Linked DNA regions of Caenorhabditis elegans. The gene in region 1 interacts genetically with each later gene. Each region holds a gene or a part of one and is shown in the gene's direction. Other genes may lie near its edges.

The links.
Region 2: of zfp-1 (region 1) and hmp-2, a change in one rescues a mutant of the other (synthetic rescue), as found in Caenorhabditis elegans (one study listed by BioGRID).
Region 3: of zfp-1 (region 1) and glp-1, a change in one rescues a mutant of the other (synthetic rescue), as found in Caenorhabditis elegans (one study listed by BioGRID).

What each region holds. Positions count from the first base shown.
Region 1 is NC_003281.10:8,795,616-8,802,773, forward strand, and holds the start of zfp-1 (Zinc finger protein zfp-1), read left to right. Parts: upstream 1-2,782; 5' UTR 2,783-2,849; intron 2,850-2,917; 5' UTR 2,918-2,939; coding exon 2,940-3,048; intron 3,049-3,243; coding exon 3,244-3,499; intron 3,500-3,779; coding exon 3,780-3,870; intron 3,871-3,917; exon of another isoform or gene 3,918-3,919; coding exon 3,920-4,030; intron 4,031-4,870; coding exon of another isoform or gene 4,871-5,086; intron 5,087-7,158. Other genes in the region: F54F2.6 (uncharacterized protein), read right to left, coding at 4,871-5,086. UniProt on the Caenorhabditis elegans protein: Recruits the histone methyltransferase dot-1.1 to chromatin to methylate 'Lys-79' of histone H3 and activate transcription. Recognizes and binds histone H3 methylated at 'Lys-4' (H3K4me) at the promoters of target genes.
Region 2 is NC_003279.8:14,736,576-14,744,613, forward strand, and holds hmp-2 (Armadillo/beta-catenin-like repeat protein), read left to right. Parts: upstream 1-2,306; coding exon 2,307-2,362; intron 2,363-2,993; coding exon 2,994-3,055; intron 3,056-3,112; coding exon 3,113-3,775; intron 3,776-3,882; coding exon 3,883-4,047; intron 4,048-4,387; coding exon 4,388-5,379; intron 5,380-5,770; coding exon 5,771-5,947; 3' UTR 5,948-6,081; downstream 6,082-8,038. Other genes in the region: K05C4.4 (Leucine Rich repeat-containing domain protein), read left to right, coding at 1-209; K05C4.7 (Armadillo repeat-containing protein 1), read left to right, coding at 1,128-1,220, 1,271-2,047; K05C4.5 (WD_REPEATS_REGION domain-containing protein), read left to right, coding at 6,190-6,302, 7,008-7,764. UniProt on the Caenorhabditis elegans protein: Required for cell migration during body enclosure and cell shape changes during body elongation. Plays a role in recruitment of the cadherin protein hmr-1 to adherens junctions.
Region 3 is NC_003281.10:9,089,980-9,099,744, forward strand, and holds glp-1 (glp-1/Notch intracellular domain), read left to right. Parts: upstream 1-2,261; 5' UTR 2,262-2,333; coding exon 2,334-2,473; intron 2,474-3,333; coding exon 3,334-3,449; intron 3,450-4,089; coding exon 4,090-4,152; intron 4,153-4,671; coding exon 4,672-5,580; intron 5,581-5,880; coding exon 5,881-6,121; intron 6,122-6,426; coding exon 6,427-7,162; intron 7,163-7,569; coding exon 7,570-8,042; intron 8,043-8,092; coding exon 8,093-9,176; intron 9,177-9,227; coding exon 9,228-9,353; 3' UTR 9,354-9,714; downstream 9,715-9,765. Other genes in the region: Putative serine/threonine-protein kinase ZK507.1, read right to left, coding at 9,715-9,765. UniProt on the Caenorhabditis elegans protein: Essential signaling protein which has a major role in germline and embryonic development; involved in cell fate decisions that require cell-cell interactions. Probable membrane-bound receptor for putative ligands lag-2 and apx-1.

The sequences.
Region 1 (7,158 bases):
CTCATCGAACACCGCGAGTTTCCTCTACATTCTAAGTCTAACACTCTTACTATGTCCAATCGATGAAGAAAAGACGACCCCAAGAGGGAAAGACGGATTCTTTTGAGGTGTGTGTGGCTGTGTGTTGGAAGTGGGAGGGAGATGGATAGATAGTCGGAGGGATCAGACGCGAAAGTAATCTACGTCTCCGTATCCCTCGCCAGTTGAATAGCCGGTCACATCGGACATACGCGAGTGCGACCCGACGACAAAAGAGAAATAGAACAGCCTGAAGAGGTGTTAGAGAAATAGAGAAACGCGAAGAGGGGTTCGCATGAGAGACATAGAGAAGCTATGGTAGTAGAGAGACCCCCACTAGGGTCTGCTGCATCCCGTCTTCGTCCTCGTCCTCCTCTTCTCCTCTCTGTTCTGTTCTTTTTGCCTCGTCGCGTGTATGTATGCATTCAGCAGTCAGTCTGCATCTATCCATACTCTCAACCACAGCTGGGACACACTCAATCAAAAGTTACACTTGTTTTTCGCCTCTCCATCTACTTCTCGCTTTTCCCAGTCAAGTCTTGTTTTTCCTTCTGTTTTTCCACTTTTTTCCTTCCACGGACGTCGTCGTCATTCTCATTTCTCGTTTTGTCGATGTTGTTCGAGGCTTTATTCGGTCTAAATCCGATCGATATGTGATGGGTCAAGTGTCAGGTGCTCAGCGCCTTGTCGCCCCACAAAGAAAAAGACAAACCGTGTTGTCGCTGTCCGAGACATTTGTGCCGATTTTCTGTTCCTTTCGGCTACTATCGTCAGTCTGACGACCCAATTTTTTCTGGTCTCTGACACTTATTGTCATTATGAACACCTTTTAGATATCTTCAGTGAGGAAATTGTCGGAAAATTAATATAATTTCTATGGTTTTTCATTATTAATTTTTATAGTCAAATTTAGAAAACAAATCCTCGATAAAATTTATTTATTTATTTTTGATTCATCAAAAAAGAATTTTTAGCCTTGAAAAATGTTTAAAAACCAGTGAAGTTCTATTAATAAATTCTCTTGCTTCTTAAATTTTTTTTTTTAATTTTAAAAACTTTTTGTTAAAGATGTTAATTTTCTGTAGAAATTTTTATTTCACACAATAACCATTAGTTAAATTAAATTTATAACTGTTCCCCAAGTGGTTTTAAAAAATCAATAAAATGATTTCTTGACTATCGTAATCCTTCGTGACCCCTCTGTAGAGATTTTCTTGTGTTATGCAAGTACCCCATCGTAAATTTTCTTTTCTCGATACCCGAAGTATATCCGATCACATCTGTGTCTATGATGATACTGATTACTTTTCCATTTATATTTATCACCTTGACCGTTAATTTTCAATATTTAATTTTTCAATGACAATACAATGTTAATTTTTATAAGGTTATGTGGTAGAAAATGTTAGGCGAGGTTTAGAGAAAAATATAAAAGTTTATTAACTTTATTTCGCCCTTGGACGATTTTTTAAGCATCCAAATGACTCTTTTCATTTAAATTTTTATATTTTCCGATCCGTATATTATTTTCTTTTCAACTAATTTTATTAAAACATACGGCTATATGAAATAAAGCACTGGAACGCAGAAAGTTAGAGAGAAAAGGAGCAAAGCTTCCCCTTCTTGTTTGTATGTATGTGCTCCTTGTGTGCATGTGACATAGAAGAGCCGACGTCGCTGCGCCCCTGTGAGAATTCATGCATGCTTGGCACGATGCCAAGTTGTATGTGTCTATCTTCACCTCCTTTTTCTTCTTCTTCTCGATTGCTTCTCCCTCTCTTCCAAACGAGAACGTGATGTCGGTCTCTCCTACTGTAGGCTACTAGTTGTCTGTGTCTAATACTCTCTCATTGTCAAAGACTTCAAATCGGGAAGATTGTGATGGTGGTTTGGTGACGAGAGAGAGATAGAGAGAGAGAGAGAAAGACACTGACGATGTCGTCGTTATCAGTGTATTTCTTCTTCTTCCTTTTCTTCCATACACAATCTGTAATTCTCTGTCGTTCTCTCAATTTGATTATCACTATTAAATGTATATTCATTCATTCACGCCCATAACTTTTTTGACTTGACTGAATCGAAAATCGAATCGATGGCCGCTCCCCGATAATAAGAAGGAGAGAGAAAAGAGAGACGCTGCAAAAATTTTTTGTCTTTGAATGACCTCTATTCGTCGTATTGATTGACTGCTGCCGTTTGTCTTTTGTGACGAAATTTTGTACAGTTCCATTTTCTTTTATTTCAAAAATTGAGAGAAAAATATCTAATGCTCGGCGTTAAATTTTCAATGAAAAATTTGTTCACTCAAATTGGCCCGAAAAGTCCGAAATTCATAACGAAACTTTTCAATAATTCCTCAAACTTTTTTATAGCAGTTTTACCTAAAATTCTAAATTTTGAAGAATTAGCCTTTATGCAAAATTTTGAATGGCCATAAAAGATTTTTCAATGAATTTCTGAAGAGTTTCGTAATTTGATATTTGATATTTTCAAATGGATTTTTAGTGTATTTTATAAAGCAAAACATTCTTCAATTTATTTTGTTTTCCGAATCTAATATTTAAATATCTCTATGAAACTTTAATACTATTTTTGATACGCATTCAATTATAGATAATTGTTAAACGTTCTTTTTTCTCCGAAATTAGGTTATTTCTATTTGTTCTGTTTCTTTATTTGTCGCTCGGCCATAATAAATCAATAATTTACGGCAATATACCTCTAATCTCCCCTTTTCTGCGTAATTTTTACCGAATTTTTACAGCACATCACCATACAAATGAGCCACGCCTGACCTCTTGACCAGCTACAGTAACCCAAAAAAAATTATCGTAAGTTTTTTCGAATTTTTGTGGAAAATTTGTGAATTGTATTCTCAAATGGATAATTATTTTTACAGAGTCCCCCGAAATTGCTGAAAAATGAAGGAGATGGTAGGTGGATGCTGCGTTTGTGCAGATGAGAATGGTTGGACAGACAATCCATTGATCTATTGTGATGGAGAGAATTGTGAAGTTGCAGTACATCAGGGTGAGTAGAAGTTCACAGAAATTGAAAAATTTTAGTATTTTTCCCGATATTTCGAAAAAAAATCCAACGTTTCCAAGCATTGTTTGAAGTTTTGCTTTTTTCCATCTTATTAGATGAATTTGATTTTTTTTTTTCGATTTTCTCTCAAAAAACCAAATTTTCCGATTAGGCCCCACCGAATTTTTATCATTTCAGGATGTTATGGAATTCAAGAAGTACCCGAAGGCGAATGGTTTTGTGCAAAATGTACGAAAGCATCAGCTATGATGCCCGGCAGTATAAATGAGGCAACATTTTGTTGTCAATTGTGTCCGTTTGACTATGGAGCATTGAAAAAAACTGATCGAAACGGATGGGCTCATGTAATTTGTGCACTTTACATTCCAGAAGTGCGATTTGGGAACGTACATAGTATGGAACCAGTCATATTAAATGATGTACCAACTGATAAGTAAGTTTTTCTCAAGAATATGGGTAATTCAATATGAAAAATGTGTCTGATCAAGGGTGAATATTTTTTGAGTTTTCGACTTTCGATTTTTTGACTCTCTGGAAAATCTCAAATTTTAAAAATTTCCGGTACATTTCTGAACCGAAATTTTTTTTCCAGTTTTTCGATTTTTCGACTTTCAAAAAAAAAACAACAACAAAAAATCTAAACATTTTAAACTCTTTCTTTGAAAAAATCTTGAAGTTTTATTACTATCTCGATCAATTTATATATTTTATAGATTCAATAAACTGTGCTACATCTGCAATGAAGAACGTCCAAATGATGCGAAAAAAGGTGCATGTATGTCGTGTAACAAGTCGACGTGCAAGGTATTTTTATTTTTCTTTAAATTTCTTGTAATTTAAACGAAATTTTCAGAGGAGCTTTCACGTAACCTGTGCTCAGCGGAAAGGACTTTTATGTGAAGAAGGGGCAATAAGTCGGAATGTCAAGTATTGTGGTTATTGTGAAAATCATTTGAAGAAAGCGGTATGTTTATTGAAGATTTATGCGCTAAAAATTGAGAAAAAAGTATTAAAATCGATTTCTTAATATTTTAAGAAAATCAGGCCAGATTATCACTTGGTTTTTCATAGAAGTGAAAATAAAAATAGAACTACAGTACCCATCAATTTCAAATATTTAATCCCTAGTCATACTGGTGCTGTGAAGGTCCGATGCTTGATAGACCAGGTGGATAGACACCTGTCTCTTGAAAAACTAGAGATTGTACGGAGTATTAGAGATTCAGAGAAGTAAAAATATGAATACAATCGTGTGTGCCCGCTTCTTCTCTGCATCTCTTCTCAGGATACTCTATTTCTGAGTCACAGCATTGGGACCCTGGAATAGCAACACAGCCATTGCGCTTCACTCTTAGAGTGAAAGAGATAGAGATGGAGAAAGAGACGTCCTCCGTCCTGTTTTCATATCTGCGTCTAAAATCTCTTTATCCTGAGAAAAAGAAACCGAAAGAGAGGTTGAGAGAGAGAGGGAGACATTGTCGAAGGAGGTCCGCGTGCTTCCACATACACATACACACACCATCCATTCAACACAACACACTTGAGAAGATGGAATAGACGAGAGAAGAGAGTACAGACGTTTAGACGAAATGAAATGGGTTGGGCCAACGGCTGGCTGGATGGATGGCTGACTGAGTGTGACAACGACAAATAGTGCTCGGGGGGGGGGGGGGCACTGAGAGAGATAGACGAAGAACTCGGAGAGACATAGACACAAAAAGGAACAAATTGCTGTCGGGCCAAGCGAGTTTGGAAGAGAAAGAGACGTGCATAGAGTGTCTCTCTCTCTCTCAATTTCATAAGCTTAGATGATTCTCTGCGTCTGCTCTTCGCCGCCCCTTCTGGACTTCTTTTTCTCGGGTGGCCCCCGGCGGCCGTTGTTTCGTCTGCGCTTCTTATTTTCCTCTTTATCGTCATCGTCGTATTCCTCGCTTTGTCCTGCTTTTTCGTTTTCTCCGTCCGTACGCACACATACATACACACGCACATAGTGAGGCAACATCATTCTCTTGTGCTTCATTTGGTTCTTCTTCGACGAATACTCGATAGATTTGAATATAGTCGTCGCCACGTCATACTCTACATTTTCCTGCTACATCATCCTTGCATCTCCCCACTTTCTCACTTGTTACGGTTTTTGCTTAACTCTCTACGTCTCTACTCACTCTCTCACCTACTTTCCTCTTCTCGTTGTGTTTGATGTCACCTTTCTCATCGTCTTCCGTCAATGGAGTTTTTTTGTCGCCAAAGAGAGACATTCACTCATTTTCTCTTCCGTCTCCCTGAAGTAGTTCTATGTTCTTTTTTTTTTTTTTCTAGACTTTGTCATTTAACATTTTTGTTTTACATTTTGGTACATTCACAGAATTATTTCTAAATCTAAATTAAACTTTTGATCTTGAAAGTAGGCCTATCATATAGGCCTCACCGCCTGCCTGCCTCACCTTAAGACGATCTTCGCCTGTTTCCAACTAAGTTGAATGTCTTGATTGTTCTCGGGGGTTGTCAAATTTTTGATGTTATTCTAATTCACCTAATTTAAATTAAACGGTAACAAATATCATAAAACCCTTTAGTTTTTTTTGAAAAAGTCTAATAATCTTTATTAGTTCTTTTTACTAATGAGGACGCTGCAAATTTTTGTTTTTTTTTTCAAAATTCAGCACAAACTTTTCCAAAACACTGAGCAATGTTTTGTTCCGTCTCTTTTCAATATCTAAGTCTCCCTTTAGCTGGTCTCTACACTTCTCCGAATATCTTCAACTTCTAAGTCTATCAATCATGGGATCCTTCATTGTTGTCTTACTTCCGCGCACCTCTCAACCCGGTAGACATTTTTGTATCGTACTGATCAAATGCAGGCAAAGGAGGAGAAGTGGGCGCCCAGGCGCTGGGTCGACCGGCGGTGGCCATTGTCGTCGCGTCGTCGTTGATGTCCTTCGCAGGATCGTCGCCGATTCGATTCGTTTTCTCTCTCCACCTCCTCCTCCGCACAGGCACACACACACACACAAGTTTTCGTTTTTTCGGAGTGCTGGTAGTGGTTTTACTCGCTTCCTATCCTTCACTTGTTACCCCTGTCGCCTCTGTTGATTGCACTCCCTTCGTTTTTCCCGTTGCAATCATCCGATCGGAGGACTCTTCGATGTTTGTCTGCATGTCTGATCACTCTTCCGATCAAATGATGCCTTAGGCATCCTTGTCGTGTCGCCGCGCTCTCACTTGTTTCCACCCTCTTTCTATTGCCGTGTCGATTCGATGACTGGTGAATGATCGGTGTCCTCTGCCTGGCCCCGAGACGGCGATGCTGTGGCTGCGACTGCTGCTGTGTGTTTCTCATTTTTGTGACTGAAGGCTTTGTGTGTGTACGTGTCTCTACGCGCATAGATGTGTGTATGTCTCCAAAGCAGCAAAATGCTTAAGACTCTGCGTCTCTTTTGCGCAATCGAGACGAAGAAACCTTGGAGAATCAGACGACGATAAGGAATGAGGATATGAAGAGAGAAAGACAGTTAGAAGAAGAGAGAGTGACGTGCACAATGAGAGAAAGAGAGAAACATTCAATCAGCCTGTGGAGGGTGGCTGGTGGTCGGTCATACACTCTCATACGCATAGTCATTCACAACATTGGGCGCACGGTTTTGTTGGCTTGCTGCCAATAATAACTTTAGTGAAAGAGATGTAGAGAAGAGAAGAATAGAAATCGCCCGATTTTGTCGTTTTTCAAAGTTGATTTCTTATCATTTTACTTTGTCTGTCTTATCGTTTACAGGGCTTCCCAGTATTTTCACAATTTCTTGAATTTATCTTGGTTCAGGTGTGGAAGTTTATGTATCTTTTTTCATTTCGTTCCGATTATCTCTTTTTTCATCAAAAGTGTCTTCTCGTTTTCTCTTTGCTTCTTCTCCTTGCCGACGAAGAAAGAAGAATAAGAAGATGATGAAAAACATAAAAAAGTGGGTCATTGTTAATCGTCTGCGTCTCTTCCGTTTTGTACTCTCTTATACTCTATGTCTTCGGTTTCTCTGCGCAAAATAAGAATCGTGAGCATATCCTCTTGCCAAACTTTAAACATTTTAAAAAGCGTTTTGA
Region 2 (8,038 bases), on another chromosome or scaffold:
TTAAACAAGTTGTAAATGTGGAACATCTCGACCTGCGGAACAACTTTCTTACAATGAACTGCACATTTCCTTTGCTGTCGCTGAAATCGCTCACGCATCTGAAGCTGTCGGATAATTTTCGAGTTGCTTTTCGAGTTGCCTTTTCGAGTTGCATTTTCGAGTTGCCCGATCTTTTGCAACTTATTTTTTCAAAAGAATCCCGACGTTGAAGAGAATTGATGATAAACCGGAAAAGATGGCACCACTAGCTCTGGAAGAACATTTTGAAGATGAGGATAATAAACCTTCCAGCAGCACTTCCAGCAGCTTCTGGCGTCACATCAGTTATCAGGAGAGAAGCTTGAAACAAATGCAACCGAAGAAGACATGAAAATTTCCTTTTTTTTTACTGTTACAATACCTATTTCGTAAATTATATATATATATATATATATATCTCGTTATCTCTCCTTATATTATTTAATCCCAACATTGTATTCAGTTTCATTGGCTTAGCAAGTTTTCGATTGAAAATTTTTTTTTTCAGCCAAATACCGATTTTTCATATTTTTTTCGCATTTTTGATTGATGTTTCTGTGATTATTGGTTTTCCTATGTTGTTTTAAAAGGGTTTGTAATGTATCTTCGCTGAAATGTTTGTTTCATATTCAAAAACGGCAATGTTTCCACTTTCCCACTCGGTATCTTTTAGTTTTCAGGCTGCAGCTTCAAAAAATTGAAAATGGCGAAAATTTTAGGGTGGAATTTGTTTTCTTTTTTTTTTTCATATTTTACATAATACTATTTTCGTAATTTATTTTTTTCCCTCAAAATGTGCATGATGCGTTAAATTTTTTTTGGCATAGACTTCGCGTCCCAAATGGCGAGTAATAATTATTGAGAAGGAAAACTGTGTGCGAGCCCTTTGCAAAATGTGTGCGCACCACTTGCGGTATGCCTCATCGTGTGACTCCGCCCACATTTTCTTTTGTTTCCATTTTCTCTTTTCCCCTCAATTTATCGATTTTTATCCACTTTTTGTTTTTCACATTTAGAATTGAGTATTTCATCGCTATTCTGGTTGTTTGCGTTAAAGTTTGTCGTTCAAAATCGAAATTTTCGTTAAAAATCAAGGTTTTTATTTCAGAATGACTGAAGTCGTAAATGCCGACAAAATAAAAACGATTCGCGCGTACTACAAGCTGTGCCAAAAGCCGGAGAATCGAGCAGTCGTGCTTAAGGTAAGTCGTTAGCTCACTCAGGATTCACATGAAAATTAAATTTCTTCCAGGACAAAACATTTTTCCACACTCTCCCAACGCTCCTCAAGGACGAAAGCTCCGATGTCATCAGATACACGGTTAAAATCCTCGTTTTGCTCACAGAGCAGTCGGGGAACATCGAGCAACTGCTGAAATCCGCAGATTTACTTCCAGCATTGTCGGAAGCCTGCGAAAATATCACAAATCCCAGTGTCAACTATAACTTGGTCCTTGTCTCGAGTAGGATTCGAGTAGTGAAGAATTCGCTGGATGCCAAAAGAGCCGAGAAAGAGCCTCTAGCCGATGCGATCAAAGAGCTCGACAAGGGCGGAACTCTTCACCGAAAATTCGTTGGAAGAAAGTCAAAGCAGATTATTATGGAATTCGATGCGGAGGAATTCGATGAAACGAAGAAGCTGTCAGTTGAGAGAGGCCTTCTGAAGAAAAAAGGAGTAATCAGTGTATATATAACCGAGCAGAACTCAATTCCACGCGCCGTGCTCCGCACAATCCCGACAATCGAAGCCAAGGACATTGCGCAGTCCGTTTTCGCCGCCGCCGGATTCGAGTACGTCGCGCAGTTAGTGAAAGTGAACGGAATCGACGAGAAATTCGAGTTTTACGCGTCAGAGATGGGCAAAATCACGGAAAACTCGAAAGATTACCCCGAATATTTGGATGATGATGTGCTTCACGTGGATCCGGCAAGTTGTGTGATAACTAATGAGATGGCTGCCCATGGAAGTGGTCAAGAGGGCGGATGGTTCAGTTCGATCACTTCATTCGTCAAAACTTCCCTCTGGTGATGGAAGGAATTCTCGGATTATCTCGGAAAATCTCGAAAAAAAATGTATTAAAGTACTACGGTTTCTTCTTTGTTATCTCAATATTTTCTTTTTTCTCCTGTTTCTCGTTTTTTTTGAGATCTCTTTCTGGTATTATCACCGCACAGGCATATAAATCGTTTCACACTGGTTTTTAAATCCTCGTATTCTTGATTTTTATGTGTTTTTAAGCTGTTTTAACCAGCTCTAATTATCTATTCGGCAGTTTCAGATTCGAAAAATGCGATTATTCTCATATTTGGACGGTTGCGGTACCAAAAATAGAGGAATTTATCGGTATAAAATATCCTTAAAAATCCAAAGTCCTAGTGAAAATCTTGTTTTTGCGTTTTCATCTAGTTTCCGATTCGAAAAAACCCATTTTTCTAAATTTTCTACCTGAAACCACGTATTTTGACAGTTGCAACACCAAAAATAGAATAATTTTCCTTTAAAATCGCCACAGAAGCACAAATTCCAAGTGATAATCTTTATTTTGCGTTTTCAGCTAGTTTCCGATTCAAAAAATGCGATTTTTCTCGATTTTCTACCTGAAACCTCGTATTTTGACGATTGCAGTATCAAAATAGTGGAATGTTTTTCAAAATAGCCATAAAAGTAAAAATTCCTTTTTAGCTAGTATCTGATTCGAAAAATGCGATTATTCCTCAATTTTCAACTAGAAATCCTATTTTTTTTTAAATTTTCTACTCTAAATTTCGATTTTTCGCACTTTTCCACTCGAAATAAATTTATTAAATTTAAATTTAATTTTAAAAAAATCTTAGTTTTTGTGGATTTTTCCTGTTTAAAATGACTTTTCTCTGCTCCCACATGAAATTTGATAGTTTCAGCACCTAAAATATCGAATTTCTTTGCATTTTCTCGTCTAAAACTCACCATTTCCTTTAAAAAGTATAATTTTCAGTAGCTGTGAACTCCCAACAACCATGCTTCTTCACTCTACCAACTCTTATTCGATATTCACTGGTAAAACACAAAAAAATACAATTTTTTCGAAATTTCTTCATTTAAATTAATTTCCAGACCATGAAGTCGAAACTCGAACCTCTAGAATCCGCTCAGCGATGTTCCCCGACTGGATTCCACCAACTTCTGCTGCAGAAGCCACAAATTCAACTACAAGCATCGTCGAAATGATGCAAATGCCAACTCAACAGCTGAAGCAATCAGTTATGGATCTTCTAACCTACGAAGGATCAAACGATATGTCAGGACTCTCGCTTCCGGATCTAGTGAAGCTTATGTGCGATCATGATGAGTCAGTGGTTGCTAGAGCTGTTCATCGAGCTTATATGCTCTCAAGGGAAGATCCGAACTTCTTCAATGCGCCGGGATTCGATCATCGATCTTTTGTGGAAGCTCTGATGGCTGCGTCGAAGAGTTCCAACGTGAATGTCCGTCGGAATGCGATTGGAGCATTGTCTCACATGTCTGAGCAACGTGGAGGACCTCTTCTGATCTTCAGAAGCGGAGGGCTTGCTGAAATCATTCGAATGCTCTATGATTCACTGGAATCAGTTGTTCACTATGCTGTGACAACACTTCGGAACCTTCTGATGCATGTTTCTGATTCCAGAGCTCAAGCGAGAGCTCTCAACGCCGTTGAGGCGCTAACTCCGCACCTTCATAAGACGAATCCGAAGCTGCTGGCTCAAGTGGCGGATGGGTTGTATTTCCTGTTGATCGGTAAGGATTCACTGGAAAAATCAAGAATTTTGTACAAATTTGCATTTTTTAAAGCTATAAATTCAAATTTTCCACTCTAAAATTTCAAAAATCGGTCAATTTTGCAGACGATGCTCCATCGAAGATCACATTCCTATCACTGTTGGGACCACAGATCTTGGTTTCGATTCTTCGCGAGTACTCGGATCATCGGAAGCTCATCTATACCGTCGTCCGTTGCATTCGATCCCTGTCCGTTTGTCCGAGCAACAAACCGGCGTTGATCAGTCTTGGTACATGGATGTTTTGATTAAAAACTATTTTATATCGCATTTTTAGAGATATTTTCAGGTTTTTATCCACTGAAAAGCTGGAAATTTGAGATTTTTAGCTGAAAATACTTGAAATTCGCAGCTATTTCGAGTGTTTTGAAGCAATTTTTAAACATTTTCCTTTATCTTTCACGAAATTCCAACAAATTTCAAAATTTTTGTTCCGGTGGTTCAAAGTTTCGCTGAAACCTCCAATTTTACCCTCTTTCAGCAGGAAATTACTTTGAAATTGCGCGTTTTTTGAGAATTTTCCAATAAAAAAGTTCAGAAATTTAAACTTTTCAATATTAATTTTTTCTAGGCTGCCTTCCTGCTCTCTACGTGGAGCTCTGCACCGCAAAAGACGAGCGATCCCAGACGGCGATTCTAGTGGCGATGAGAAATCTGTCGGATTCTGCGACAAACGAGGAAAATCTCACTCAACTGATCATCAAGCTTCTCGAAATCATTCGTGTCGCCAACGATGGAATGACTGCCTGCGCGTGTGGAACATTGAGCAATCTCACCTGCAATAACACTAGAAACAAGCAAACCGTGTGTTCTCACGGGGGAATCGATGCTCTCGTCACCGCGATCCGCCGACTACCTGAAGTTGAAGAAGTCACCGAACCGGCTCTCTGTGCTCTTCGGCACTGTACTGCCAGGCACTCACTGGCTGAAGAAGCTCAAAGTGAGCTGAGATTCTGTCAAGCATTCCCAGTGATTTTGGATCAGCTGGAAACTCTTCGTACTCCAGTTATCAAGGCAGCTCTCGGAGTTATTAGAAATAGTGCACTTCTTCAAACAAATCTTATCGAGTTGACACAAGAACAAACTGCAAATGGGCATACAGCTGTGTCACTGACAATGGATATCTTGAGAAGAGCTATCACGGCGATTGAGGAGAATCCTGATATTGCTGTAGATGGAGTTCCAATGTGGGGAGTCATCGAAGGAGCTGTCTCGGCTCTTCATCAGCTCGCGAATCATCCGGCAGTCGCTGCAGCATGCTGTGATGATATTGGACAAGTCGGAAATCCAGAATGTCCACCATTCTTGGATCTTCTCCATCGTCTTCTGGCTCATCCGAGACTCGGATCCATGGATGATGAAGTTCTCGAACGCGAGATTCTTGGGCTTCTCTATCAGTTGAGCAAGCGGCCAGACGGAGCCCGTGCTGTTGAGAGTACTGGAGTTAGTGCTCTTTTAATGGAATCTCGTGGCTCACAGTACAAATCAGTCGTCACTTATGCGAATGGAGTGTTGAGTAATTTGAAGAGAGGAGATTCAGCTGCCATCATGAATATGTCTAATGTGAGGAATTAGGAAAAAAAATAAATTTTCCGTAAAAAAACCGAAAAATCGAAAGAAAACTTTTGAGCCACCACGGATTTAAGATATTGTGGGATTCCGGATCGTTGAAAAAATGTGTTCTATGTGTTGGCACGGTGATCCGGAAATGGTAGATCTAGAATCCCACCGGATCTTGAATCCGTGGGGCCTCAAAGTTTTTTAAAAATTCAATGTTTTAATGAAATATTGTCCATATGGACAAATGTTGATGAGAAAAACCATATAATTTTGTTCTAAAAACAAGGAAAATAGTTCAAATTTTCAGCTTTTTTTCGAAAAATAGAAAAAAAAATTTCAACATAAATTTCCGATTTTCGAGCGAGCCATTCATGAATTAATTCCGAATTTTCAGTCGTACGACTACGAGATGAGTGGAAGTGCTGCGGATTGGCAACGTGATGGGCTGGAACGAGAGCTTTTCGCTGAAATGTATCCGACAAACGACGGCGGACACTCGGAATCCATTAATATGGCGTTGAACAACTCACAAATGCGCCCTAATCACAATTGGTACGATACCGATTTGTAATTAATTTATCTTCTCGTATTTTTGCATTTTTTACACATAATCTGCTGAATATATCCACTGGGAATTATTATTCATGGTTTTAAATTTAATTTTTGATACTTTCAATATATTTATATTATAAATGTAATTTTATACTTCCTACTATCTAATGTTATACGTATCTTTTTTTTGGTTCTTCGGTTCCTTTTTCCTATATTTTTTCAAAAAAAAAATTTCAGACAATTTAAACGAAAAATTTCCAGATGAGTATCTGCCTTGAAAAGCAGAAAATCCGATGCGGAATGATAAGCCGGACGGCTCGACACATTGCCATCGATGAGAATAGTGGAAAAATGGCAATTGTGAGGAAATCTAGGTTTGTACGGAGGATTTATTGGAAAAAATGATTTTTGAAATTAAAAATTAAAGGTGGAGTAGAGTCAAAACAAATTTTTTGCTTAAAATGACAGAAAATATACCCAAATAACCGATTATAACTGAAAAAATGTTCTAAATTTTTTATGATTTTTCAATTTTTCAAAAATTGAATTCCCGCGAAAATAAGTGACGTAATTTGTTTATATTCTCGCGTTTTCTGGCTAAATTCTTTGGTTTTTCTTGATTTTTCTTACACATATTTAGTTTTAAACTCTGTTTCTCAAATTTTCAGGTACTTTTCCGTGAATAAAACTTGATAACCTTGGAGAAATTGGCGGAAATTTTCAAATTTGCCTAAAATTCCACAATTTAATAGTTATTTATATATTTTATTTGGAAAAGGGTTTCAAATTTTGAAAAACAGGGTTTAAATCAAATAAATCAAATATTGAACGAAAAATCAAGAAAAACCGAAAAATTCAGAAAACGCATCACTCATTTGCGCGGGAATTCAAATTTAATTTGGCCGTTTATTTGATTATTGAAGAATTGAAAAAAATCATTAAAAAATTTAGAACATTAAAAAAAAATTACAGTTATATTCGGTTAATAGGGTATATTTTCTGTCATTTGAAGCAAAAAAAAATTGACTCTACTTCCCCTAAAATCATCATAAATCAATACATATAACTAAATATTTCAGATCCTCGGAAACCCACGACTACATCGAATTCTACAACATCCTTAGCAGCTGGCTTGCAATTCCAGAACTCACCGTATGCCCAGAAAATGGCTCAATTGAGCACCTTCTATTCGTTGATAATGGAGAACTGATGTCTTCACATGCAAATGGTTCAGTGTGTTTCATCGATCCACACAATATTGAAAGAATCAAGAGAATTCAAATTTCGGCGTCAACGATTTGGGCGGCTTGTAAGCATACGGAGAACACAATTGCAATGATTTCGCACTCTTCTGTTCTTTATTTCTTCGATGTCTCGACGAAGATGATAATTTCATCGATATCTCTGGGAGTTGAAAGTCGACTTTTCGATGTTTCAAGTAATGGAACCATCGTCGCAATTGGATCAATCGATGGTGTAATTATTGCTGGCGACGGAAAAGTTCAACAGACTCTGAAACTGGATCGTCTCAACCGTCGTGATCCAACAATTGCCTGGTCTGTTCTCTTCGTCAAACCTTCACTGTTAGCGTGTGGAGATTCTCGTGGAACTGTCACTTTTTGGAATCCAATTGATGGATCTTTGATTCAATCGATTTCCTGTCTTCAATCACATATTCTCGCAATGGTTTCTACTGATAATTCCACGTTGAATATCGCTGGCGTTGATCCAAGAATCACTGAGCTCCGGGAGACTAGAAATGGAAATTACGAGATTGTAAATCGGAGAACTGGACCTGCAAGAGATGTCCGATCGATGGCGGTTTATGAGAATATTGTATGGGTTAAAAATTTAAATTAAAAATTGAAAATTCTCGATTTTCCTCTAAAAATGATTGAAAAATCGAAAATTACGATTTTTTGAGTTTATTTTCCTCTATTTTCCCTGAAAATCACTGAAAAATCTACATTTTCAATGACAACCTTGCGTTTTTTCGTAATAATCTGTAAATTTCCCGATTTTCGCAGGAAAAGACTGAAAATCTAGATAAATTTTTTCGGAGTATTTTTTAATGAAACAATCAGAAAAATCGAAATATACAAAATTTTTC
Region 3 (9,765 bases), 290 kb from region 1:
AGTCATGGGAACCTAGGCAAGTGACGTGGTTATCTAACTAGCCAGTTAGATAACCACGTCACTTGTGCTAAGGTCCTTCCGGTACGCAATCGTATTCTATCTACTAATTAATAATAATTTTCTCATAGCCATTAAATATTTAACTTTCAGAATATTCAAAATGTCAATTTGATAAATCGAATTTAAGATGTTAAGAAAATATTAAATTCAGAAAAAAAATTATCTTCAAAATTCAATACCGTACCGTTCAATTTTTAATAAACATATGTTCTATAGCCCAATTTGATACACCAATTACTCTCAGCAACTCTTCATTTATCTTTTAGGCATTAGGACCTTATAAGGTGGTACCAAAATTTTCAGCCACCTGGCTAATTCTAGCAAGTTCCGTATAAGTAAAAGGTATAAATCAGAAAACTTAAGAATTTGAAAATATCCACAACTGCTTAAAAATTCAATTAAAGTTGTAAAATTAATCCTAACTCCTTGTGCTGTACAAAACCCATTTTATGGAAACATTCAGAATCCCCAATACTTTTTCTCTTTTCTCACATGACCTTATAGTTTATCTTCCGAATGCTGAATGTTTTTTCTTCAGTACAAATGTTTTGAATACCTAGGTAACCTCGAGTATGAGAAACAACATTAACAATGTTTTGGGAGAAACATGTAGTTTTGTACGTCCGGTCCAGTGAGAGTTTTCAACTTATTTTGGAAGAAATTTTTTTTTGACAAAATTTTGCAATTTCCCACGCAGAAATACGGTATGCCCCGTATCTCGCCACGAACATAATATTTTAAATTGACGGAAAGGTGTGCGCCTTTAAGAAGCACAGTAACCATTTTCCGGTTTTTTTTTTGAAATTGCCTTTGATTTTTACTTTTTTCTCCCAAAAACGAGAAATTTAATATAATCCATCAAAATCTTTGTGAACGAGAGAAATATAGTGAAAAACTCAAAGAAAATTGCGAAATGGATTACTGTACTCCATAAAGGCGCACATCTTTTCGAAAAATCGTGAAAAATTGCATCTGACCAACAGTTTTGCGTGGAATCTTCCTAGATTCAAATTTCCTATGAGTCATAAAACTATCATTTTATCGGACAATAACTACACGTGTACCTTGTTTCCATATGTTCTACCAATATAATTTGTGTTCATATGTGGCCAGGTACGGGAAATTAGAACACGGACTGATTTAGGAAGGTTCAAATTCGAGAACAATGGACGACTTGCTGCACGAAAACGTGGATTATTCTGAAACCGCCTATGTGATCACTATCGATTTAGCACTTCGGTTTTCTTTTTCCGTTTTCCTTTATATTCCGTATTGTATGCCGACAATAACGCTTTTTCTTTGTATAAACATTTCCAGAAGCAGAGCAAATTTGTTTATTCCAGAATTGACTGAATATTGAAATAATGTTTACAGACATACTGTAGATTTTTTTCTATTCAAACATGAATACAGTTTTTCGTATTTTTAATCTTCAGATAAGTTTTGTGTGTGTTTTTGAGAATAATATTTAAAAAAGATAAGCAAATATCAGAACTACGGTAAGCGAAGGGGTACGGTCGTCAATTGCGGACTTCCGAGCTGTGCACGGCGCCAAAATTTATTTTGAGTTTTAAAATGATTTTCTTTGTTTTTTTTTCTTTTTTTGACACGATAAGAACATTTTTCTGTATTTCTAATATTTTAAATGAGATCGTAATAAGTTTATTTAGCTCCATCACATTATTTTCGGAATATTCATCGCTTGAAAACGGCGTAAAATAGGTTCCAAGTAAATCATTGCAAACAAATCTCCGTTTATCGTTCTAACAAAGTTTTTCGTTCACTTTCTTATGTAAATCGTTTTCCCCACTTCTTCTTCACGGGAATGATCAATTGAAAGGCCATAAATTGGTTGTTTTCTCCACATTTCGCAACCAACATGCAGCTGTCGGATAGGCAATAAAATAATGTAATCAATGAGTTTTCCGATTTATCCTAACAGTTCTTTTTCTAGTGTTCCTATTCGAAAAAAGTACTGTTATCCTTCTTTTTGGACCGCCCATCTCAGGTGTCAAGACAATCGCAACACACTCAGAAAATGGGCGGAGTATGCCACCCGGCCTTCATTCGTCGCTCCTTGTCTTCTCCATTTTCGTTTTTTTCCTGTTCTCCGTTCTTTTTTTGTACTTTTGTGATAATGCTGAAGTGTTCTTTTTTTTCGCTTAACCGCATCTCTTGATTTAATTCATATTTTCTTTCAGATTCATGTACAATAACACCAAGAGCTGCTCTAACAACTAATAATAACAGAATCTCGAACAGCGAACACAACAATGCGAGTTCTTCTAATTTTACTCGCGTTTTTTGCGCCAATCGCCAGTCAACTTATGGGTGGAGAATGCGGAAGGGAAGGTGCTTGCTCCGTCAATGGAAAATGCTATAATGGAAAACTGATTGAGACATACTGGTGCCGGTAAGCATATATTTCATTCTCCCATGTCAATGTTATTCATCCGCTTTCTCATGAACCGTGACGAAAAGAACAAAAAAAAGAAAGTTTGGGCAGGTGGTGGTGGTGGGAAACAGGCGATAGATAAACAAAAGCTTGGTGTAGAGAACATTTTGAATAATATCCGAAAGTTGAATTATCACTGTCCATATTTCCCTCTAAGACATCATTAAACGCCACCCGGCTTGCAGAATGGGAACACAATGAACAGCAGGAGGCTGTCACAATGTAAAATCTCGTAAATCGTTCGGGAAATCTAAAAAATTGTTATTTAGTTTTCCCTTTTCTCTACAAACAATTCATTTTTCTTATCAATAACTTTGAGTTCCAAAGGCAAAATTTACAGCCGTTTACAGCCATCTTCCCAGGGTTGTCGGCGAATTTATATGGACGTTCATAAAACAATTGGATTAGCGTGTCGGTTCTTTAATCTTGTCTTTTCTTATTACTATCTAGCTCGTTTGATTAGTTATACAGAGAGTATCAACGTATTTATCGATAGGAAAATTGCGCCATGATGCTCTAAAATACATAAAATCGCTCGATTTATCTGAAAATAACACTTATTTCAGCTTAAAAATGTGAGAAAATGGTCCAAAATTGTCTGAAAGTTGTTGAGTGAATTATCGAGATTTGTTTTCTGATCACTTTCACGAATATATCAGCTGAAAAATTGTTATTTTCAAGTAAATCGATATATTTTGCCACGATTTTTGATTAAAAATACTGTAATTTATTGATTGTCACCCACCACTGGCCCACAGTCATAAATTGTCTCAATTGAATTACTTTTCAGTTTAAAAATAATTTAATCAAATTTACAGTTGCAAAAAAGGATTCGGAGGTGCTTTCTGTGAACGTGAATGCGATTTGGATTGTAAACGAGGCGAGAAGTGCATCTACGATGTTTATGGTGAAAATCCGACGTGTATCTGTCAAGGTAATTTTGTGAATCCTAAAATCTGTTAAATATCATAATATTTTGCCCGAAACGACCTATTTTCATAATGGGACTTCTCAAATCTTTAAATCAAATTATCGCCTTTTTGCATAGTTTGATAAATACTTTATCTCGATTCAAGTGTATTCTAATCAATCATTTTAAGATTTTAAACGTTTCAAATTCAAAATTTTGTTCCATGTTTTACTTCCACCTTTTTCTTCATCTGCCCTTTTTCATAGCGGCAATCTTTTTCACCACATCATCCATCATCACACTGCGAGTGTATTTTTCTTTGATTGTGCCCGACTTGTACGCAATTTTTTGTTTCAGGATATATCAAAATTTCGAAAACTTATTAGGGAAAACACGCGACCATACGTATAATAATTCTCCCGGGAGATCCCAACATTGACAAATTGTACCGCATTCGTGGTATCCTATTTTTCATTTCTACGCTCTCAAAATGACCGCTAGTGATAGATAGCTTCTACTAGGTCATATTCGCACATCTTCATCGCCTTTGTCATGCGATTTATTGCAAATGTTCGGTTTCATTGCGCGGGGGCAGTAGTATAAATCAAGCAGATGTTGTTACACAGACAGCCATGAGAAAATATTTATAAGTTTTATTATTCAGATTGCGAAGACGAGACTCCTCCAACAGAACGTACTCAAAAAGGCTGTGAAGAAGGCTATGGAGGTGAGTAAAGTTTGGATAATGTATGATTACTAATAGTCAATGACTTTGTATCACAATTATTGTTGTTTTGAGCAACAATTGACAGCTATTTTAATTTTTAAAAAGTTGCAAAATTGTTTTTTTTTCAATTTTATATTTTTCGAAAACACAAAGGACCAATGAAATTATCAGATTTTAAAAAATATAGTAAAAAATAAATTAAATATATTTAATTTAATTTAACATATTCTAATAAGAAATGCGCGAGATCCAAGTCTCCCACTGTGATAACTTTTTCCATCTGTTGTCGGAACCGATTTGATCTCAAATAAATCAAAATATTGCGTGTTCTTTTTCTCTATTTTACCGTAATGAGATTGACACCTTTCTCATCTCAAAGGAAATAATCGGCGGTTGGGGGTAATGAGGTGTGAATGGCTATTAGGAAAAACAAACTTCCGCCGGAATTTGAATTTAAATTCCACTTTTTTTAAAAAGAAGACAAAGGCCTATCCGTGATTAATACATTAATATTTTCAGGTCCTGACTGCAAAACTCCTCTATTTTCGGGAGTAAATCCATGCGATTCGGATCCTTGCAACAACGGACTCTGCTATCCATTCTATGGTGGATTTCAGTGCATATGCAACAATGGATATGGAGGATCGTATTGTGAAGAAGGAATCGATCATTGTGCTCAAAATGAATGCGCAGAAGGTTCAACGTGTGTCAATAGTGTATACAACTATTACTGTGATTGCCCAATTGGAAAATCCGGTCGATATTGTGAACGAACTGAATGTGCTTTGATGGGAAACATTTGCAATCATGGAAGATGTATTCCGAACAGAGATGAAGACAAGAACTTCAGATGTGTATGCGACTCGGGATACGAGGGAGAATTTTGCAATAAGGATAAAAACGAATGCCTCATCGAAGAAACGTGTGTTAACAACTCTACATGTTTCAATTTGCACGGTGATTTTACTTGTACCTGTAAACCTGGATACGCTGGAAAGTATTGCGAGGAGGCTATCGACATGTGCAAGGATTACGTTTGCCAAAATGATGGATACTGTGCCCATGACTCGAATCAGATGCCAATTTGTTATTGCGAACAAGGATTCACTGGACAACGATGTGAGATTGAGTGTCCTTCAGGATTCGGGGGAATTCATTGTGATCTTCCACTACAGAGACCACACTGCTCTCGGAGCAATGGAACGTGTTACAACGATGGAAGATGTATAAATGGTTTCTGTGTCTGTGAACCTGATTATATTGGAGATCGATGTGAGATTAATAGGAAAGATTTCAAGTTCCCAGATATTCAGTCATGCAAATACAATCCGTGTGTGAATAATGCGACTTGTATCGATCTCAAAAACAGTGGATATTCATGTCATTGTCCGCTTGGATTCTATGGATTGAACTGCGAGCAACATTTGTGTAAGTTCGAAAATTTTATTTTTATATACGACAAACGCGCCTTTAAAGAGTACTGTAGTTTCAAACGGTGAAATTTTCATCAATTTTTCAGCTTTTTAACATCAAATCTACATAGACTACACAGACTTAAATTTTGAAAAATCAATGGCAATCCCGGAGCAAGGAGAGTTTTTAAACTACAGTACTCTTTAGGAGCGCACATTTTTTCGCATTTAACAAAATTTTTGTCGTGGCGAGACCTGATACCGTATTTTTAGCTCAAGATTACTAGGCAGCATTCTTAATATCAACAAACTTCAGTGTGCACTCCAACTACATGTGCTAACGGAGGTACTTGTGAAGGTGTGAATGGCGTTATCAGATGTAACTGCCCCAACGGATTCTCTGGAGATTACTGCGAAATAAAGGATAGACAGTTATGCTCCAGACATCCATGCAAGAACGGAGGAGTTTGTAAGAATACTGGATATTGCGAATGCCAATATGGATACACTGGACCCACTTGTGAAGAAGTTCTAGTTATCGAGAAATCAAAAGAGACGTTAGTTTTCTTGGATACTATAAAGAATGCAGCCCAGAAAAATAATTTATTGAAGTAAAAAGCGGTTTCAATGAAATAAATACCTAATTTTAGCTCAAATCTCTAATTTTGCCAGCTTCGGTTTGTGTGACACGGGGAAGGTGTTAAATAAAATTTCTTTAGCTAAAATAAGGCTGTCTTTTTCCAAGATTTGAACTGCCATGATTTATTTGGAATTATTTTTTTGAGCCACTTGGAGTATAATGACGATGAAGATAAAATTCCTTCAAAATTTGTATTCAAGGTATTAAATGTGAACATTTCAGTGTCATTCGTGATCTATGCGAGCAACGAAAGTGTATGGATCTTGCTTCCAATGGTATTTGCAACCCGGAATGCAATTTGGAAGAATGTAATTTTGATGGAGGTGATTGCTCAGGAGGGCAAAGACCATTCTCCAAATGTCAATACCCTGCAAGATGTGCTGATCAATTCGCAAATGGAGTCTGTAATCAGGAATGCAATAATGAAGAATGTCTTTACGATGGATTGGACTGTCAATCAGAGTTATTTCGATGCCCAGCTCATATTCGGAAACATTGTATTGAAAGACGAGGCGATGGAGTTTGTAATTTAGAATGCAGTTTCATTGGATGTGGTTTTGACGGTGGAGATTGCAATAACGGAACAGAAGCAATAATCCTCAGTGATATTCGTATAAAAGTTCAAATTGATCCTATTGAATTCCAAGCTACCGGAGGAGAAACACTAATGCAAATCAGTGCAAATCTTCGAGCAACCGTACGTATTCAACGGGATGAACTTGGACCTCTTGTATTCAGATGGGATGGTGAACATGAAATGGAAAGAGTTGAGATGAATAGTAGCAAGCTCGAAGATCAATTTGTACTTTCGCATCACGTTCGCAGGTATCGGCAAGCTGTTGTCACTGGAATTGTCTTGTATTTGGAAGTCGAAGAAATATGTAAACCCGAGTTTTGCCGATTTTCAACAGCGCAAAGTGTCGTTGATTTGATTGCTGCTGGACTTGTGAAGTCTGATGTAAGTTATTTTTATGTGGAGTACGGCACCGGGCTGGAAACAAAATAATTTGGACCGAAATAACAAAAAAAATTAAATTTGTGAAAAATCCAAAAAGGTAGATTTCCGGTTCACTTTTCACTTTTTAGAAGAAAATCATCCGCGTTTTGCTAAAAATATTTGTAAAACATAAAAAAATGTTTGAAGTACAGAAAATTAGTTTTTGAATCCAAAACCAAAAAAACAATTTTTCGTCAAAATATCAAAAAGTCCCAGCACTGGTGGGGCTTAAAATCTATTTTTATGGTGATAAAATGACCAAATATAATTTTTAAAAATTAGAAAAATTTTATAGTATATTTCGAGCCAAAAAGCGGTGAACCTTTAATTGTTTGAGTTATGGAAAATAATAATTAAAACATTTTCAGGGTCGTATGTCTCTGGGTCTCCCAATTACGGAAGCAATGGTAGCTGTTCCAAAGAGAAACGAAATCGATGAAGGATGGTCTCGCAGTCAAGTTATTCTGTTTGCATGTATTGCATTTTTGGCTTTTGGAACTGTTGTCGCTGGTGTTATCGCAAAGAATGGTCCAGAAAGAAGTAGAAAAAGAAAAATGGTGAACGCAACAGTCTGGATGCCTCCGATGGAATCAACGAACGAGAAAGGTCGTCGGAATCAGTCAAATCATTCGAGTCAGTGCTCTCTTCTTGACAATTCTGCCTACTATCACCCCAATACCAAGAGACACTGTAGCGATTATAGTACCGGCTACAATGGAGAACAATATTCACAGATTTATCCACAAACTCTCGCAAATGGATATCCCGGTGATTACAACGAATTGAACTTTGACTTTCAATCTGAGACGTTCGCACCAGCTGATCTACCAGCCGACGAAATGTGAGTGAATCTTTATAGTTTTATTATAATTATTGTTATGTTTCTTTCAGCCCTCTCCATGTTCAAGCTGCAGGACCAGATGCGATTACAGCTCCAATCACAAATGAGTCAGTCAATCAAGTGGATTCAAAGTATAGACGACGAGTTCTGCACTGGCTTGCTGCCAATGTCAGAGGAAAACCGGAAGATGTCATTACAACAGAGGCAATTCGATGCTTGAAGGCTGGAGCCGATGTGAATGCAAGAGATTGTGATGAGAATACTGCTCTGATGCTAGCTGTTCGTGCACACCGTGTCAGACTTTCCGTAGTGCTTCTTCGTGAAGGAGCTAATCCAACAATATTCAATAATTCGGAGCGAAGTGCCCTTCATGAGGCTGTTGTCAACAAGGATCTGCGTATTCTGCGGCATCTTCTCACTGATAAACGTCTTCTCAAAGAAATTGATGAATTGGACCGGAATGGTATGACTGCATTGATGCTAGTAGCACGTGAACTCGGAAAACATCAAGTGGAGATGGCAGAGCTTCTTCTTTCAAAAGGAGCAAAACTTGATTACGATGGTGCTGCTAGAAAAGATTCCAACAAGTATAAAGGACGAACAGCTCTTCATTACGCAGCGATGCACGATAACGAGGAAATGGTAATAATGCTGGTCCGACGAAGCTCTAATAAGGACAAACAGGACGAAGACGGAAGAACACCGATAATGCTTGCCGCTAAGGAAGGATGTGAAAAGACGGTGCAATATTTGGCTCTTAATGATGCTAGTTTGGGTATAGTCGATTCAATGGACATGACTGCTGCTCAAGTTGCTGAAGCCAGCTACCATCATGAACTTGCGGCTTTTCTTCGCCAAGTGGCAAACGAACGGCATCGTAATGATATCATGCGACAGCAAATAGTCAAGTCAGGTCATGGTGCTAAGTCTGGGCGACAAACTGTGAAGAATATCAAAAGAGCAGGATCTCGAAAAACGCCAACAAGTGCAGCATCGTCTCGCGAAACAAATCATCTGACACCACCACCGTCTGATGGATCGTTCTCATCTCCGTCTCCACATTATTATCCGACGACTACATCGACACCGAATCGAATGGAAACAAGTCCGGAGTACATGTTTAACCATGAAATGGTGGGTAGATGATTATTAAAATGTTTAAGAAAATTAAATAATTTGTTTTAGGCACCACCGGTCAATGCGATGTGGTATACTACACCACCTCCTTATCAAGATCCAAACTATCGTCATGTGCCTCCAAATACTGCATTTCAAAATGCAGAGCAAATGAATGGCTCCTTCTACTGTTAATCTATTTAATTCATTAATTTTTCATTTATTGACTGTATCCCGGATGTTTCTTGTCCTCCCAACATATCTCCTAACTGCTCGGTTCATTTTAAATATGCTCATCTCACTACATCACCCAGACACTGGTCCCCACAGAGTTTTTTGTATACTATTTCGGGTCATTTTTCTTATTCTAGACTAATATTGTAAGCTATAAGTTGTAGAATAATTATTGATCCAAATCAGATTAAGAGTATAAGCTTTGTTTTTTCTCCTTTTCTTTATAACTTGTTACAATTTTTGAAATTCCCTTTTTTGACAGGCTTTTATTACACTGTAACTGTGTTTCTTATCTTGCAAACATTTAATGAATTGTAATTCTTTAGTATCTTGAGGGCTTTTTGTTTTTCGAATTATTGAAGCTCAAAGTTCC